3 linked regions of the Arabidopsis thaliana genome follow. The protein of the gene in region 1 purifies or fractionates together with the protein of each later gene. This does not show direct contact. Each region holds a gene or a part of one and is shown in the gene's direction. Other genes may lie near its edges.

Evidence for each region.
Region 2: the proteins of AT4G34450 (region 1) and AT4G08140 fractionate together in Arabidopsis thaliana (co-fractionation; one large-scale study listed by BioGRID). This does not show direct contact.
Region 3: the proteins of AT4G34450 (region 1) and AT4G31490 fractionate together in Arabidopsis thaliana (co-fractionation; one large-scale study listed by BioGRID). This does not show direct contact.

Annotation. Positions count from the first base shown.
Region 1 is NC_003075.7:16,468,727-16,476,765, forward strand, and holds the start of AT4G34450 (coatomer gamma-2 subunit, putative / gamma-2 coat protein, putative / gamma-2 COP), read left to right. Parts: upstream 1-2,009; 5' UTR 2,010-3,229; coding exon 3,230-3,275; intron 3,276-3,499; coding exon 3,500-3,648; intron 3,649-3,750; coding exon 3,751-3,864; intron 3,865-3,954; coding exon 3,955-4,155; intron 4,156-4,234; coding exon 4,235-4,336; intron 4,337-4,770; coding exon 4,771-4,878; intron 4,879-4,958; coding exon 4,959-5,192; intron 5,193-5,331; coding exon 5,332-5,582; intron 5,583-5,714; coding exon 5,715-5,886; intron 5,887-5,959; coding exon 5,960-6,115; intron 6,116-6,186; coding exon 6,187-6,237; intron 6,238-6,419; coding exon 6,420-6,557; intron 6,558-6,636; coding exon 6,637-6,834; intron 6,835-6,915; coding exon 6,916-7,047; intron 7,048-7,131; coding exon 7,132-7,305; intron 7,306-7,501; coding exon 7,502-7,741; intron 7,742-7,874; coding exon 7,875-8,039. Other genes in the region: PERK5 (Protein kinase superfamily protein), read left to right, coding at 1-22. UniProt on the Arabidopsis thaliana protein: The coatomer is a cytosolic protein complex that binds to dilysine motifs and reversibly associates with Golgi non-clathrin-coated vesicles, which further mediate biosynthetic protein transport from the ER, via the Golgi up to the trans Golgi network.
Region 2 is NC_003075.7:5,134,094-5,136,640, forward strand, and holds AT4G08140 (26S proteasome non-ATPase regulatory subunit-like protein), read left to right. Parts: upstream 1-1,579; coding exon 1,580-1,632; intron 1,633-1,767; coding exon 1,768-1,888; intron 1,889-1,966; coding exon 1,967-2,047; downstream 2,048-2,547.
Region 3 is NC_003075.7:15,266,859-15,273,730, forward strand, and holds AT4G31490 (Coatomer, beta subunit), read left to right. Parts: upstream 1-1,587; 5' UTR 1,588-1,781; exon of another isoform or gene 1,782-2,357; intron 2,358-2,590; 5' UTR 2,591-2,601; coding exon 2,602-4,647; intron 4,648-4,865; coding exon 4,866-5,375; intron 5,376-5,470; coding exon 5,471-5,556; intron 5,557-5,630; coding exon 5,631-5,835; 3' UTR 5,836-5,836; intron 5,837-5,949; 3' UTR 5,950-6,372; downstream 6,373-6,872. Other genes in the region: AT4G31480 (Coatomer, beta subunit), read left to right, coding at 1-69, 162-247, 322-526; CYP83B1 (cytochrome P450, family 83, subfamily B, polypeptide 1), read right to left, coding at 6,819-6,872. UniProt on the Arabidopsis thaliana protein: The coatomer is a cytosolic protein complex that binds to dilysine motifs and reversibly associates with Golgi non-clathrin-coated vesicles, which further mediate biosynthetic protein transport from the ER, via the Golgi up to the trans Golgi network.

The DNA of each region.
Region 1 (8,039 bases):
GAAACGCAATCCTCAGCTTTGAAAGAAGAGACAACACTTGTCATAATATTTCAGTTTTCTTCTCTGTTTTTCTTTCATTGTTTGTTCATTCTGCATCAAAGACGTGCAGTTTTTGACAGTCACAAAATTATGATGTTTGTAGGAGTAATTTTTGACCAAAAGAGATTAGAGTGTGGTTTTGTTGAAATGTTTAGTACAAAGCCTTAATCCATAAATACGTGGAATTTATCAAGATTGTTTATTATTGGTCTTATATAATTATGAGATTCTAAAAGTGTGATACGGTTAGGGTTAGGCGTATCCTTTTGTTACCGTTGTGATAAAATTTCCTTTTTGTTTCTGCTACTCAAATAAGAAAAGGAAACAATCAAAATTTCCTTTTTTCATTGAACAAACGTGTACTTATAAATACACCCCTTCTCTCTTCTTCCTTGAGAAAAGTCTCCATTCTCTCTTCTTCTTCCTGGAAACCTAAACCACGTAAGGATTTGCTCTGAATCTAAATATTGACGTGGAGAAGACGCGATCTTACTAATTCTCCATTCTCTGCTTCAACTTCACCGTAAGATTGAACAAACCTTTACTTATATATACCTCTTCTTTCTTGAGAAATCCAAATTCTCCATTCTCTCTTCTTCTTCCAAACCAAAACCTAATTCTCCATTCTCTGCTTCAACTTCACCGTAAGATTGATCGGTTGATAAAGCGGCTCTTTTTGGTGATTGATCTCTGTTGTGACTACATCTTAGGTCAATTCAGATTGCTTTCATATCAAGTCTCTCCTAATTTCACAAGATCAAAGATCCCGGCCATGGATTCAGTTGTCGACGGCGAAGGAGAACACAAACGACGACTAAGGATGCGAAAGTGGGAAAGAGGGATATAACGAAGACATGGACAATGAAAGCAACGAGCAGTATAGAACCAAATCAATGGATCATGATCTGTGTTTGGTACTAGGTGTTTCCTTGGCGTCGACGAGATCTTTTGAAAATCTTGTGTTTCGTCGATATCACAAGCAAAGGTATTTTCTTTTTTCCTTTTCTATTTTTAATGATTCATTTTTTACTAAATAAAAATTTATTTTTAGATTTTTTTATTAAGTGTTAAAATTTTCAATTTTGTGTAAATTAATTTAAATTTTTAACACTTGTTTTTGTTTTTATTAAAAACTGTTTTTAAACCTATATTTTTATACTACTATTAAAGTTTTAAGGTTTTTCTTATTAAATATTAAATTTTTAAATTTTGTGTAAACTAATTGGATACATCATCCAATCCCCTAAGAGGTGTTCTAGGTTCAATAGATGGTTTACACATCATTTAAATTTTTAACACTTGTTTTTTATATTTATTAAATAAATGTTTTTAAACCTAAATTTTTATACTACTATTAAAATTTGAAGTTTTTTTTTATTAAGTGTTGAATTTTTAAATTTTGTGTAAACTAATTGGATACATCATCCAAACCCCTAAGAGGTGTTCTAGGTTCAATATGGTTTACACATTATTTAAATTTTTAACACTTGTTTTTCTTATATCAAAAATATGTTTTAAACCTTTATTTTTATACTACTATTAAAGTTTTAAGTTTTTTTATTAAGTGTTAAATATTTAAATTTGTGTAAGCTAATTGGATACATCATCCAAACCCCTAAATAGTGTTCTAGTTTCAATATGGTTTACACATTATTTAAAGTTTTAACACTTGTTTTCCTTATATTAAAAAATGTTTTAAACCTATATTTTTCTATTACTATTAAGATCTTAAGTTTTTTTTTTAATTTTGTGTAAACTAATTGGATAAATCTTAACTCCTAAGAGGTTAGGTTCAATATGGTTTACATATAATTTAATTTTTCTTATATTAAAAAATGTTTCTATTTTTATTTTACTATTAAGATTTTAAATTTTTTTTTGTTAAGTGTAAAAAATTAAAATTTTGTGTAAACTAATTGAATATAACATTCAAACCTGTAAGAGGTGTTTATAGGTTCAATATGATTTATATATAATTTAAATAGTTTGCTATTTTGTTTAGAATCAAAATATTTTTAAATGACATGTTGTAATAATTGACCAAAAGAAATTAGTGTGTGATTTTGTTGAAATGCAGAGTACAAAGCCTTAATTTATACCAAGTTATGGTATCTATAACGTATATGAATACCAAAATTTTATTATTTTTAATTGGTGTTGTATTTTATAATTCGAAATAATTAGGGGAACGGGCAAAACCTCTCTGTTCTCTCGCTTATATTTTTTTTAGAGAGAAAGCAAATCAGTTTCAACGATCGGATATTTTCTGGTGTTAGCCGTCCTGACTTTTTGGGCTTTCTGTCCGATATCACCGGCTCTGGTAGCGGTGTTGGTTGGCTCTAGTCCGGCAGCGTCTTGTTCACATAACCGGTGGTTGCTGGCTCTTGGTTTCTCTCGTCGATGTAGATCGATTTTTAATCTGTGTTTTTTTATTTTCATGTTTTGTTTTTAATAATTCTCATCTGAGACATGTTGGTGATAGAGTGAATGCAATCTCGCTTTCTAATGCTTCTTATCCGATCTGTTCTTTTTTAAGTTTTGATTTACAGAAATTTTTGGAGAAATTTGAGAATGATGTTGAAGAAAAGAAGTGGATTCTGTTGTTAATTATCATAGCCTTAAGCTGTTGTATATTTAACATGAGCCTCGATTGCTTTTTATCGGTGAAAAAACAAAAAGATCCATGTTCTATGAGACTATCGACGGTGATTCTTTCACCGAAATCGGTGCTCAGACGGCGAAAATGAAGTCGGTTCGCTTTAGAGTACTCATCTGACACGTATATTAATATATCGACATGTGGTTTGGGATAGAGTCAAACTATAGTTTCTTCTTCTATGAAAGACTCTCTGTTGGCCTATTTGGTCCTAAATCGTTTCTGTAATCGCGGACTTTTCTTTAAGCTTTGACTATCTTGATTAATACAATATTTCTCTTGGGACAAAAAAAAAATAATCTTAGTATTTCTTTAATATTTTTTGTTTGGGTATGGGCTATTGGGCCGCTTCGAAAAGTTCACTTTCTCTATCGATCTCTCACAGTTTCTGAGTTCTCTGACTCAAAAACATATAGTAGAAGAAAACGATTAGAGATCTTCTTCTTTCTCCTGTTGCATCTGAAGATAAAGGAAACAGAAAGCGCGAGATCTGAGTGACGGAGTAATTTCAAAGGGAGGTTTTCGAGATCAGAAATGGCGCAACCCCTCGTGAAGAAAGACGATGATCACGACGATGAGTGTATGTGTTCTCTCTTAATCTCCTTATAATTTTCGAATCAGCTGGTTTTCTGCAAAATGTAGATCCAGATGTTAAGCTTCTAGATCTGTTATCATTCAACAGTCGTGATTGTGATTTGGTTGTGTAGATCTACAATCTCAAGTCCGATTTAGTTTTGTTTACCGCATTCGATCCCGGTGTGAATTGCTTTGCTTATTTCGATTTCTGATTTTTTGTTGGATCAGTGGAGTATTCTCCATTCATGGGAATTGAGAAAGGAGCGGTTCTTCAAGAGGCTAGAGTCTTTAATGACCCTCAGGTTGATCCTAGACGATGCTCCCAGGTCATTACGAAGCTTCTTTATTTGCTTAACCAAGGGGAGTCATTCACCAAGGTCAGTTAATTTTTTTGCTTATACTGATTCGATGTCATGCTTATGGAGAATTGAATTATTGTGTTCTTATCCTCTCGCGATGGTTGTTTGTTTCATATGCAGGTTGAAGCAACGGAAGTTTTCTTTTCAGTTACAAAGCTTTTTCAATCAAAAGACACGGGTTTGAGGAGAATGGTCTACTTGATCATTAAGGAGTTATCTCCATCATCTGATGAGGTCTGTAAATTTTACTCAATTTCAATACGAACATCGTCGCACTTATTGTAGGTATATTTTCTGATAAGTTGTTGGTTTTTTCGCCCATAGGTTATCATCGTAACAAGCTCTCTGATGAAGGATATGAATAGTAAAATTGATATGTATCGAGCAAATGCTATCCGTGTCCTCTGCCGGATAATAGACGGAACCCTTCTCACTCAGATTGAGCGATACTTGAAACAAGCCATTGTGGATAAGAATCCCGTTGTTTCAAGTGCAGCTTTAGTCAGTGGGCTTCACTTGCTCAAGGTACCTTTTACACACCAAAACTATTAGGTAGCTTCTTAATTGTAATGTTATGCTTATATTCGTATATTGCTGTTTTCAGACAAACCCAGAAATTGTTAAAAGATGGAGCAATGAAGTTCAAGAAGGTATTCAATCCAGATCAGCCCTTGTTCAGTTCCATGCCCTAGCTTTGCTCCATCAGGTTAGTTTGTTGCATTATTATCACCGAAGTCGATTGGTCTATGTTTCTACTCTTTGTTTAATTAAACAGCCACTGAGAAGAAGTATCTCGGAAAATGAGAGGTGTTACTATGTGTATTGGACTAGATTCATAAATAATAAGTTTTCTGTAGCAGCATCGTAGCTCTTTACTACGGCCTTTTCCAGCAATTTTAGTTTCTTGTGAGGTTTAATCTGTGTCTGGAGTCTGTCTCAGATACTGCTGATTCTAGCATATGTAACTAATTAGGTTGGTTAGGACAACCTATTTATGTGTCTAAGATGTACGAGTTACCAAATGATATGTATTGCTGCTGTTACGTTGATTTAAAATGACTCCCAACATGATACACTCTCAATCTTTGATCTAATAACTGTCAATCTTTGATCAACTTGATAATCTTTCATCATATTCAGATACGCCAAAATGATCGCTTGGCTGTTAGCAAATTGGTTGGTAGCTTGACCAGGGGATCTGTCCGCTCTCCCTTGGCTCAGTGTCTTTTGATACGTTACACCAGCCAGGTTATTCCTCTCTTCTGTTTGATCATTTGATAAGTGGCTGATTGTATATGTGTTATTTAGCTCTGGTTTCTAATATTCAGGTTATCCGTGACATGGCCAACCACGGTCAATCTGGAGAACGTCCGTTCTATGAATTTTTGGAGAGTTGCCTGCGCCATAAGGCAGAAATGGTGATCCTTGAGGCTGCCAGGGCAATTACTGAGCTTGATGGTGTGACAAGCCGAGAACTGACTCCAGCAATCACTGTTCTTCAGCTCTTTTTGAGTTCCCCCAGACCAGTGTTGAGATTTGCCGCTGTCCGGACTCTGAACAAGGTTTGCAATGCTTTCAACTGTTCTCTTTGTACATTGACACCGAAATGATGTTTTACTATTCTGGGTAGATTCATCATTACCTTTATCATGAGGATGAGGAGATATTTCACTGTATACTAAACACAAGTTTGAACCACAGGTTGCAATGACTCATCCTATGGCTGTCACCAACTGCAACATTGATATGGAGAGTTTAATCTCTGATCAAAATAGAAGCATTGCTACACTCGCAATAACCACACTATTGAAAACAGGGAACGAATCAAGTGTAGAACGTTTGATGAAGCAGATAACTAATTTTATGTCAGATATTGCTGATGAGTTCAAAATTGTGGTCGTGGACGCAATAAGATCGTTGTGTGTGAAATTCCCACTGAAATACAGATCCTTGTAAGTAAAGTTTTAGGGTTTGTTATTTGTAGTTTTGGTCTCGAGCATTTCTATTTTTTTGAATGATTAAATATGTTATGGTATCTTTTTAGCATTTGGCTTATGATTGATCTATCACCTTTTCATTTGTAGGATGACCTTCTTAAGCAACATTCTTAGGGAAGAAGGTGGATTTGAGTATAAAAGAGCAATAGTAGATTCTATTGTGACCATTATCAGAGATATTCCGGATGCAAAGGAAAGTGGACTGCTTCATCTATGTGAATTCATTGAAGATTGTGAATTCACATATCTTTCAACACAGGTAATTATTCCATCATCCATCTGGGGTTGCTATTAAAAACTTATGTGTTATTGAAATGTTTATTCTCGCACAGATCCTTCATTTTCTGGGAATTGAGGGGCCTAACACCTCAGATCCAAGCAAGTATATACGATATATATATAATCGTGTGCATCTAGAAAACGCCACTGTCCGGGCTGCTGCTGTTTCCACACTTGCAAAGTTTGGGTTTATGGTTGAATCCTTGAAGGTATAGTCATCATAACAACCATTATTTTTATTTTCCGTTTATCTTCTTTGACTGATGATAATGCTCGACAGCCCCGGATTACTGTTCTATTGAAGCGTTGCATCTATGACAGTGATGATGAGGTGCGTTCCTAGTCTTAGTCTAGAAAAGCATTGCTGTTTCTGTATGTCTGTTTGTTTTGAGTCGTTGCATCATCAAACATGCATGCATGTGTTTGCCTCTGTAAACATTTTCGGATGCATGCAATGCAAGTTGTTTGATGATTCCTTCCTTGCTCATGAGTCAGACATCTTTTTATCTTAAGGTCCGTGATAGGGCAACACTATATTTGAGTGTTCTTGGTGGTGATGGTACTGTTGACACTGATAAAGAGAGCAAGGATTTCCTATTTGGTTCCCTGGAGGTTCCTCTAGTCAACATGGAAACTAGTCTGAAGAATTATGTGAGTTAATCTATTTCTCGGTTTTCTCCTTTTCAATATTCTTAGGACATCAGTTATCTTATATCTGGGATTCCTGCAGGAGCCCTCTGAAGAAGCTTTTGATATCAACTCCGTACCTAAGGAAGTTAAATCTCAGCCCCTTGCAGAGAAGAAAGCCCAGGGTAAAAAGCCCACTGGTCTTGGTGCACCACCAGCTGCACCTGCTTCTGGTTTTGATGGCTATGAAAGACTTCTCTCATCCATTCCAGAGTTTGCCGCCTTTGGAAAACTTTTCAAGGTTAGGGGCTGATTTGTCTTCTGTGTTATTCTAATGTTAATGGCTTATCTTGTTTGCTTTAACTTGTACTTTCTTTTTCAGTCTTCTTTACCTGTGGAGCTAACTGAAGCAGAAACAGAATACGCTGTCAATGTTGTTAAGCATATCTTTGACAGTCATGTGGTGTTTCAGTACAACTGCACTAACACAATACCAGAGCAGTTGTTGGAGAGGGTACTGAACATTGGTGTAGAATATTAGTGTCAAGCATATCTTATCTTTCTTTCCTCATTTAATTAATTTGGCATGGGGTTGTAGGTCAATGTCATTGTAGATGCTTCAGAAGCTGAGGAATTCAGTGAAGTAACTTCAAAGGCCCTAAACTCACTTCCTTACGATTCACCCGGTCAAGCCTTTGTGGTTTTTGAGAAGCCAGCTGGGGTCCCTGCTGTTGGAAAGTTCTCCAACACATTGACTTTCGTTGTTAAGGAGGTACATGTTAAATAGGCTATTCACTTCCATCTTTTTATTTACTTACACTGAAAATGACCCCATAATACTTTGTGGAGAACTCTTATAAACAACGACTCATTTGGAGAGGAGTACCAGAACGACTCAAATTAATCACAGAAAACAAAGAAAACTCTCTAACTACATTGTTTGTGCTTTTATGAATGTGTTAAAACAGGTTGACCCAAGCACAGGTGAAGCAGAAGATGATGGAGTAGAAGATGAGTACCAGCTAGAGGATCTTGAGGTTGTAGCTGGAGATTACATGGTGAAAGTGGGTGTCTCCAATTTCAGGAATGCGTGGGAAAGCATGGATGAAGAAGATGAGCGTGTAGACGAATATGGCCTTGGCCAAAGAGAGAGTTTGGGAGAAGCTGTAAAGGCTGTCATGGATCTTCTTGGCATGCAGACTTGTGAGGTTAGTCTCTTCCACTTTTTTCTCATACTCTACTGAGACTTGAGGGCTAAAATTATTGTTGATAAAGTCTTTTTTGAGTATATGACCATTTGTTGTGTTCCTGAAATTGAAACTGACACTGGATAAATAACAGGGGACGGAGACAATTCCGCTCAATGCAAGGTCACACACGTGTCTATTGTCAGGTGTGTACATAGGCAACGTGAAAGTGTTAGTGAGGGCACAGTTTGGAATGGACAGCTCAAAGGACATTGCAATGAAGCTGACAGTTAGAGCTGAAGACGTTTCTGTCGCCGAG
Region 2 (2,547 bases), about 11 Mb from region 1:
CAAAAATACTATTTAATGAATAAATAAATAATTCGACCAACAAAACCAAGAATAACTAACAATCCTAACCGGGTTCCAATAACCAAAAACACCAAAAATAAAACAAACGAGTTCCTAGATCATCCTCTCTTCCTTGCCATGATTCCACGATCACACTTTATCTTTACCTGTATCAACAACACAATGAGATGCGTAAGTATTATCATAAATACTTAGTGAGGCGATCCTCCCATCTACGAGCTATACACACAAGCAAATAAAAAGGTATAATCACGAATACAATACAAACAAACCAGTCATTGAACAATTCATCCAAAACACATTCACCACACCTACATATCATCACACAAAACAAATCACACAACCCTATCGCTCAGATAAGCTCATGGTCACGCACTCACCTTAACAAATTGATTCTAATAGCAATTAAACCCAGGAGAGACTCTCCTTGCGTCTGAAACAGTCCAGAAACGTCCTACAAAAAGTCCACAACCAAAAGCAACCTTGAAGCAAACTGGACAGGAAAAACCAGAAACAAGCAGTCTCAAAGACGAAACCCTCAAATACAAACTAACCGTTAACTATTCAATCTCTCCGGTGAAATCCTAGCTGCAGACGTCACAAAGCTGACCACAAAATCTCGTGCCGATCGGAAAACAGACGAGACCACGATCTCAGTTTCAATCTCCGCTGGTCCTAATTCGCGTCTGAGAAAACGTGTCTCACGAAACTGCGAATAACTCAACCAATTTGAATCCAAATCCAATTCTGTAAATTGGAGAATAACGATAAAGGACTTGGGAATAACTCTGCCAAATTTCGTTACCTTTTACCACGATTTGATATGACGAAACTGATTTCTCCCAAACCCTAACGATTCTGCTCGTTCTCCTTTTCTCTCTTTTTCTCCTTTATAAAACGAAAAGTGGCTAACCAAAGCCCTAATTTCGAGTTTACTTCTTTTATAGGCATACTCTAAGGTTTCCAATTAACCCAATCAATTAAACCGGATGATTTAAAAACAAACTCTAACTGATTTTCCGGTTCACGGGCGTTACAAAGAGGAAGTTAGAATGATGAAGATGGAAATGAACAAAGAGAGGATGGAAAAGAACAAAGAGAGAAGAAATGAAGATGATAATCGTTTTTTCCTATGGTTGTTCAATCACCATGGCAATTGGAATGTTGTGTCTATAGTAGAAAAAAACTTATTTATCGGTTTTAATTTGGTTTATTTTTGTAATAAATCTTTTCATCTTTGATTCGATATGATGAATCTAATTATGAAGACTAAGTGGGTTCGTATTCTTTTCTTATTACGAGAACATATCAATTACAGTATTGTACGTGGTTTTACAAAGCATAAGGAGATATACAAAAACAAAACAATAAGCATGTTCAAAGTGAATGTTTTGTTCGTCATTAGTATAGCCGGATTAAAAAGTTGCTAACTTGTGCTGTGAGGAGAGTTTTTTTTTTTATATATGTTCACAGGACTAATGACTCGACTTACATTGGGTTGTGATTGTAGTCTTAAGAGGATTTGGAACTAAAGCAGAACCTTAAGCTCTATGTTGAGATGGTTCAGGATCCTAATCCGGACTTGCAGAAGGCTGCTCTTGAGAGTATGAGGTAATTCTTGACTTGATTAGCTTCGGGTTTTCAGATTACTGTCTTTGAAGCTCATAATTTATAAAGTTTTTCTTTCTTTTCTGCTCCTTGTGTTCTACCCTTGTTGGAGTTTTTAATTTTTTTTTGGTTTTGTAGGCAGGAAATCCGAGCTTTAACAAGTTCAATGACTTCAGTTCCCAAACCACTAAAGTTTCTGCGTCCCCAGTATGTAACTCTTAAAGCGTTTCATGAAACAATGGCTGATTCTAATCTCAAGGTATGTCATCATTGATTTCAAGTTATTAACAATTCTTATATTGGTATGGCTTAAAAATTACATTTGCTATGTTTGCAGAAGTACATTTCTGATATCCTGTCTGTCCTGGCCCTTACCACGCTCTACAGATTGCACTATTTCTTGATAACACGAAGGTAGAACTGAGCCTTCTTTAATTCATCTAGTAGTTGTTGTCTGAGTTTGATTTGTTGATTTTGCTTTTGATATGTGATTATTTGATGTCTGCTTTTGATTAGTTGATGTCTGCTTTTGATTATTTGATGTCCGGTTTTGATTATTTGTTGTCTGCTTTTGATTAGTTTATTTGTTTCTCTGTTTAAATGCAATATATTTTTGAGTTGAGATAGCATTACATTAATATTTTAAATGCTTAGAAGAAAGTATTTGTTCTCTATGGTTAAATAAAATTCTAACACCTTTGATCAAAAAAAAAAAAAAAAAAAAAAAAATTCTAACACCTAATACTAACTTGAAGCTTTTAAAAGCTCTCTCTTAGTTATTGCGCTCAAAATTTCTCTGAATTGGTCTAAGCAATAAAAGCTAACTGTTTTTTAACTGTGATAAATGCATGTTAACTAGTGTATTTTGGAGTGGTTTACATTGGGTAAAAGTATTATCATAGTTATGGTCTATTTTAT
Region 3 (6,872 bases), 1.2 Mb from region 1:
ATCTCCCCTGCTGTGTGTTCAGAGGTTGCTTTCAGAACTATGTGGGCAGAGTTCGAATGGGAAAACAAGGTAATTTATTGAAACCTTTTATAGTTGTACCTTCTTTTCGTATGTTTGTTGGAGTTTGGTATAACCAATTCCTGTTGTATTCTTTATGTCAGGTTGCTGTGAACACCACAATACAAAACGAAAGAGAATTCCTCGACCACATTATCAAATCTACAAACATGAAATGTCTCACTGCTCCGTAAGTGTAAATTCTTCTTTCATCCTGTAGAAACGAAAAACTCTTCTTACTAATTAATACTTCTTTACTTGCAGATCCGCAATAGAAGGCGAATGTGGATTCCTTGCAGCAAACTTATACGCAAAAAGTGTATTTGGTGAGGATGCTCTTGTGAATGTGAGTATTGAGAAGCAAACGGATGGAGCATTGAGTGGTTACATAAGGATAAGGAGCAAGACGCAAGGGATTGCCCTAAGTCTTGGGGACAAAATCACCCTCAAACAAAAGGGTAGTAGCTGAGGTTAGCTAATCTTTTCAAAACATATTCTATTTCTCGATTAATACATGTTTTAATCCTTAAACCGCAATTGGTCTAAATTTCAGTACCATACCGATGATTTCTCACAGTGGCGTGCAAAGGTAACAGGTTTAGACTACGTACGTTTCTCTTGAGCAATTATCGTTGGTTGAATCTGCTTATTATATGGAGGGAGGAGGCGTTCAAGGGTATATGTAAAAAGAGTAATTGGCTATCGTTCTTACTTAACCGGTATATTTTCTGGTATGGTACCGATGGATTTCTTCATCTCATATGGCAGTGTGTTTTTTACTGTACTAGACGATTTTGTTTTATTTGTAATGCTTTTTCTTCTATAATGTCGTTTGTTGAGGACTTTAAACCGTGAACTTTATGATATTGTAGATTTCAAAGCTACATTTGGTTTGCTCCATTTTAGAACTCGTCATTTCAGATTTGATCTCTATTCTTTTCTTTCATATGCATTTGAAGTGAACTATTCAATTGTCAAAGCTAGACTTTAATTTGCTAGTAGCTATATAATACGGGTTATGTTAGCAAGTAAGTTGTAATGAAACGCATGTATTAATATGGACCATATTCAAAATCTACAAGCCAAAGAAACCAATTGCTTCACAACCAAACCCATAACATTTGATTCTTACAGCCTTTTCTATTCTCAAGAAAACCAAGCAATAATTTTTAAGCAAAATTTAATAATCTTAAATCACTTGCCTCAAGGTACCAAGGGACGATCACATACACATTCGCGTAACTAGATATCGCTAACATCATTAGACAAGAAAATACTAGACGCGAGTAGAAGAGGAAAGATCCAAATACATCATCTTCTATCATAAAATCATCCATCTCTAACCGAAAGTTGGAGCACGTTTCAAGGAAAAACTGACATAATTCCTAATTACGCTCACTTTTAAAAGTTTGGGGTCGTTTTGGAAACAATAAAAAAGTAGGGGCTATGCTTTCTCAACTTCTATTGGACTGGGCTTGTCAACAATCAATATTTGGGCCTGCGAGGTTGACTCGCTTCTTTCCGTTCTTCGTTTTCCAAACAGAAGGAAAAAAAACTAAAAAACAAAATCGGATTTGGAGGAGTAAACACAAGGGAAGACGAATCCACGATAATATTAAGGACATTTCATAATCTCTCACTTTGTGCGAGTGTTTTTTTTTCCGAGATCCAAAATCTTCTAACGGATCCAAAGCTTTGTTACTCCGTGGATCTCCTACCTTGAGGTTCGTCTCTATCTGTTAAACTTGCGACTCAGATTTCGTAGAGATCGATCCCACTTTTGCTTTTCCTTTGTGAAAATCTACAATGTTCAATATTCTCTGGCGTTCTTTGCTTGATCTCGTTGAATATTGATCCGATCCCGGTAGGCAAACGATTTTCATGTTTGTGCAGCTGAGTGAGACTGCGAACTATGTAGATTCCATTGTTTGTTCATCAAATCTGGGGAGATATATTGCATTTGTGATATGAACTTTGGTTGATCCGAAGCTTTTTTATTATTCGATTTTATGTTAATGTTTTGGTCGTAGTTGTAGTAAAAGTGATGTGTATTGCTGGATCTGAGGATTTGAATTTGTCAATGTCTTGCATCTTTGGGTCGTTGATTAGACATTACCGAATATTCTTCAGCGATTATGATGCTTTCTCATATACCGTGGATTTGAGAACATAGATGCTTTCTTCATTGTACTGAAATATATGTAGAGAGGTGTAGATTATTATTGCTGAGTAGTATTATGGGGATACTCTGAAACTTCTTGTTTAGAACTTACTCGAGCAGTGATGAAGATACTAGTAAGGTGCTTATACTAACTTAGTAATTAAAAGAAAATTCTTAAAATTTTGGATATATTGATTGTTACCTGTGATCTATACTACTTCATTTTATCTTTAAATCGATTTTCAGTATTTTAGGTTCCTATTCTCTATTCGCTTTGAATTTCTTATGTTAACATAGGTACACTTGTTCTTGCATGATTTTTCCTTTTCATATGAGCTCACAATTTTATTTTATTTTTCACTCTTTGTGCAGCACCTGAAAAGATGGACAAATCTAGTACCATGCTTGTTCACTATGACAAAGGGACTCCAGCAGTTGCTAATGAGATTAAAGAAGCTCTCGAAGGAAATGATGTTGAAGCTAAAGTTGATGCCATGAAGAAGGCAATTATGCTTTTGCTGAATGGTGAAACCATTCCTCAGCTTTTCATTACCATTATAAGATATGTGCTGCCTTCTGAAGACCACACCATCCAAAAGCTTCTGTTGCTGTACCTGGAGCTGATTGAAAAGACAGATTCGAAGGGGAAGGTGTTGCCTGAAATGATTTTGATATGCCAGAATCTTCGTAATAACCTTCAGCATCCGAATGAGTACATCCGTGGAGTGACACTGAGGTTTCTCTGTCGGATGAAGGAGACTGAAATAGTGGAACCTTTGACTCCATCAGTGTTACAAAATCTGGAGCATCGCCATCCATTTGTTCGCAGGAATGCAATTCTGGCAATCATGTCGATATATAAACTTCCACATGGCGACCAACTCTTCGTGGATGCACCTGAAATGATCGAGAAAGTTCTATCAACAGAACAAGATCCTTCTGCCAAGAGAAATGCATTTCTAATGCTCTTTACCTGTGCCGAAGAACGTGCAGTGAATTATCTTCTGAGCAATGTTGACAAGGTTTCAGACTGGAATGAATCACTTCAGATGGTGGTGCTGGAGCTGATTCGAAGTGTGTGTAAGACTAAACCAGCGGAGAAGGGAAAATATATTAAAATTATTATTTCTCTGTTAAGTGCTACTTCTTCTGCAGTTATCTATGAATGTGCTGGGACACTTGTTTCTCTCTCATCTGCCCCTACTGCTATTCGAGCTGCTGCCAACACCTACTGCCAACTTCTTCTTTCTCAGAGTGACAACAATGTGAAGCTTATCTTGCTCGATCGGTTGTATGAGCTTAAGACATTGCACAGAGATATCATGGTTGAGCTGATAATCGATGTGCTCAGAGCACTCTCAAGCCCAAACCTTGATATCCGCAGGAAGACACTTGACATTGCCCTTGACTTGATTACCCATCATAATATTAATGAAGTCGTTCAAATGTTGAAGAAAGAAGTTGTGAAGACACAGAGTGGAGAACTTGAGAAGAATGGAGAGTACAGGCAAATGCTTATTCAAGCCATCCATGCTTGTGCAGTTAAGTTCCCCGAAGTTGCAAGCACAGTGGTCCATCTTCTGATGGATTTCCTGGGAGATAGCAACGTGGCTTCAGCTCTTGACGTGGTTGTTTTCGTTAGAGAGATAATAGAAACAAATCCCAAGTTGAGAGTTTCAATCATCACCAGGTTGTTGGACACGTTCTATCAGATCCGTGCAGGAAAGGTCTGCCCTTGTGCACTTTGGATCATTGGTGAGTATTGCCTATCACTTTCAGAAGTTGAGAGTGGCATTTCAACTATTACACAATGCCTTGGCGAATTACCATTTTACTCTGTTTCTGAGGAGTCTGAGCCAACTGAGACATCAAAGAAGATTCAGCCTACCTCTTCTGCCATGGTGTCCTCTAGAAAGCCAGTTATTCTTGCTGATGGAACTTATGCTACACAAAGCGCAGCCTCTGAAACCACATTCTCCTCGCCTACAGTTGTTCAAGGATCACTGACTTCTGGAAATTTGAGGGCACTCCTTCTAACTGGTGATTTTTTCCTCGGAGCTGTGGTTGCTTGCACGTTGACCAAACTTGTTCTTAGGTTGGAAGAGGTTCAGTCTTCCAAAACTGAAGTAAACAAGACAGTATCACAGGCTTTGCTAATCATGGTTTCTATTTTGCAACTTGGGCAATCTCCTGTTTCTCCACACCCTATTGATAATGATTCGTATGAGCGGATTATGTTGTGCATAAAATTGCTTTGCCATAGGAATGTTGAGATGAAAAAGATATGGTTGGAATCCTGCCGCCAGAGTTTTGTCAAGATGATTTCTGAAAAACAGCTTAGAGAGATGGAGGAACTGAAGGCAAAGACCCAAACAACTCATGCTCAACCGGATGATCTAATTGACTTCTTCCATCTAAAGAGTCGGAAGGTAATATTATTATTTTCTAAGCTTTCCCTCGCTTTATTGTGTGTTCTTTTCCTTATGATTTTCCTTCGCACTCTGTTTAGTTTTTATCTGCTTTCTCTTACAGTTCATATCCGATTTTTTCTCCATTTTTAAAGAAAGATGGCAAAAGTATATAATGGCATGTTATGTTTATTTCTTTTGGTCTGTAGATGAGCTTACTGATGATAAATTTCTTTCAGGGAATGAGTCAACTTGAGTTGGAAGACCAGGTACAAGATGACCTAAAGCGTGCAACTGGAGAATTCACCAAGGACGAGAACGATGCTAACAAACTTAACCGCATTCTTCAACTCACAGGATTCAGTGACCCAGTCTATGCTGAAGCATATGTAACGGTACACCATTATGATATTGCTCTTGAAGTTACAGTAATCAACCGAACCAAGGAAACCCTTCAGAACTTGTGCTTGGAGTTAGCAACCATGGGTGATCTCAAACTTGTTGAGCGTCCTCAGAACTATAGTCTGGCACCTGAAAGAAGCATGCAGATTAAAGCAAACATCAAGGTCTCGTCCACAGAGACAGGAGTCATATTCGGGAACATCGTCTATGAGACATCAAATGTAATGGAGCGCAATGTTGTGGTTCTTAACGACATACACATTGATATCATGGACTATATCTCCCCTGCTGTGTGCTCAGAGGTTGCTTTCAGAACTATGTGGGCAGAGTTTGAATGGGAAAACAAGGTAATTTACCGAAACCTTTTAAAAGTATTACCTTCTTTGTTTGTTTGTTTGTTAGATTTTGGTATAACCATTGCCTGTTGTATTATTCATGTCAGGTTGCTGTGAACACCACAATTCAAAACGAAAGAGAATTCCTCGACCACATTATCAAATCCACAAACATGAAATGTCTCACTGCTCCGTAAGTGTAAATTCTTCTTTCATCCTGTAGAAACGAAAAACTCGTCTTACTAATTAATACTTCTTTACTTGCAGATCTGCAATAGCAGGTGAATGTGGATTCCTTGCAGCAAACTTATATGCAAAAAGTGTGTTTGGTGAGGATGCTCTTGTGAATTTGAGTATTGAGAAGCAAACGGATGGAACATTGAGTGGTTACATAAGGATAAGGAGCAAGACGCAAGGGATTGCTCTAAGTCTTGGAGACAAAATCACCCTCAAACAAAAGGGTGGTAGCTGAGGTTAGCTAATCTTTTGGAAACATTTTCTATCTCTCAATGCAATCCATAAATGTTTGAATCCTTAAACTTTTAATTGGTCTAATTTTCATTACCATAACGATGATTTCTCACAGGCTTGGAATGATAGCGTGCAAGGTAAAAGGTAAAAGGTTTAGGCTACGTTTCTCTCTTGAGCAATTTTTCGTTGGTTGATTCTGTTTACTACATGGAGAGAAGAGTCGTTTAAAGGATATGTAAAGAGTAATTTGTTATTATTCTTCCTAAGCCGGTATATTTTCCGGTATGGTACCGATGGATTCTTCCTCAACCGGCTGTCTTTTTACAGTACTAGACGATTTTGTTTTATTTGTAATACTTTTTCTTCTATAATCTTGTTTATCGAGGAGACTGAACTGTTGAACGCGTTATCAATAGTAGATTTCAAAGTTACATGGGTTTGTTCCATTTTAGACTCGTCATTTCATATACGATCTCTACTTCTGTTTTTTTTTTTCTTGCCTTTCGTGGTTCTCTCTTTTCGCAGAACAAAAGTTTTTCTTTTCCTACTTTTCTTTCGTATGTGACGTAGGACAACATATTGGCAAGATGCTATCCAAAGTCAAGTCTTCCACTACTTATCATTGTCAACGAAACTTCCTCATGTATTCATATTATTGTTTTTAGCAACATGTTGGTTTCTTCGTCATAAATTCATATTATTGTTTGTTAGCGACATGTTTTTGTTTTCTAGTCATATATTCACATTATAGATGTTTACTAAGATAGCTTAAAATATTGTAAACCAGAGGGAATATTAAAGGGACCCGAATATTAAACATCGGACTACTTTCTTTTCTAGTCCAAAAACAAGAGCACTGATACATTTTTATTCGTTAAAATGAGAACATAGTACTCATTAAAACAAAAAGGGATATTGCAATGAAAAATAACCATTGGTCACGCCATATCTACCAGCAGAAACGTCCTAATGATATATATAGCATCAGATGTGTTTCGTTGGTGCAAGAACGAGGTGTTCTTTCTTGTGCATAGCGAG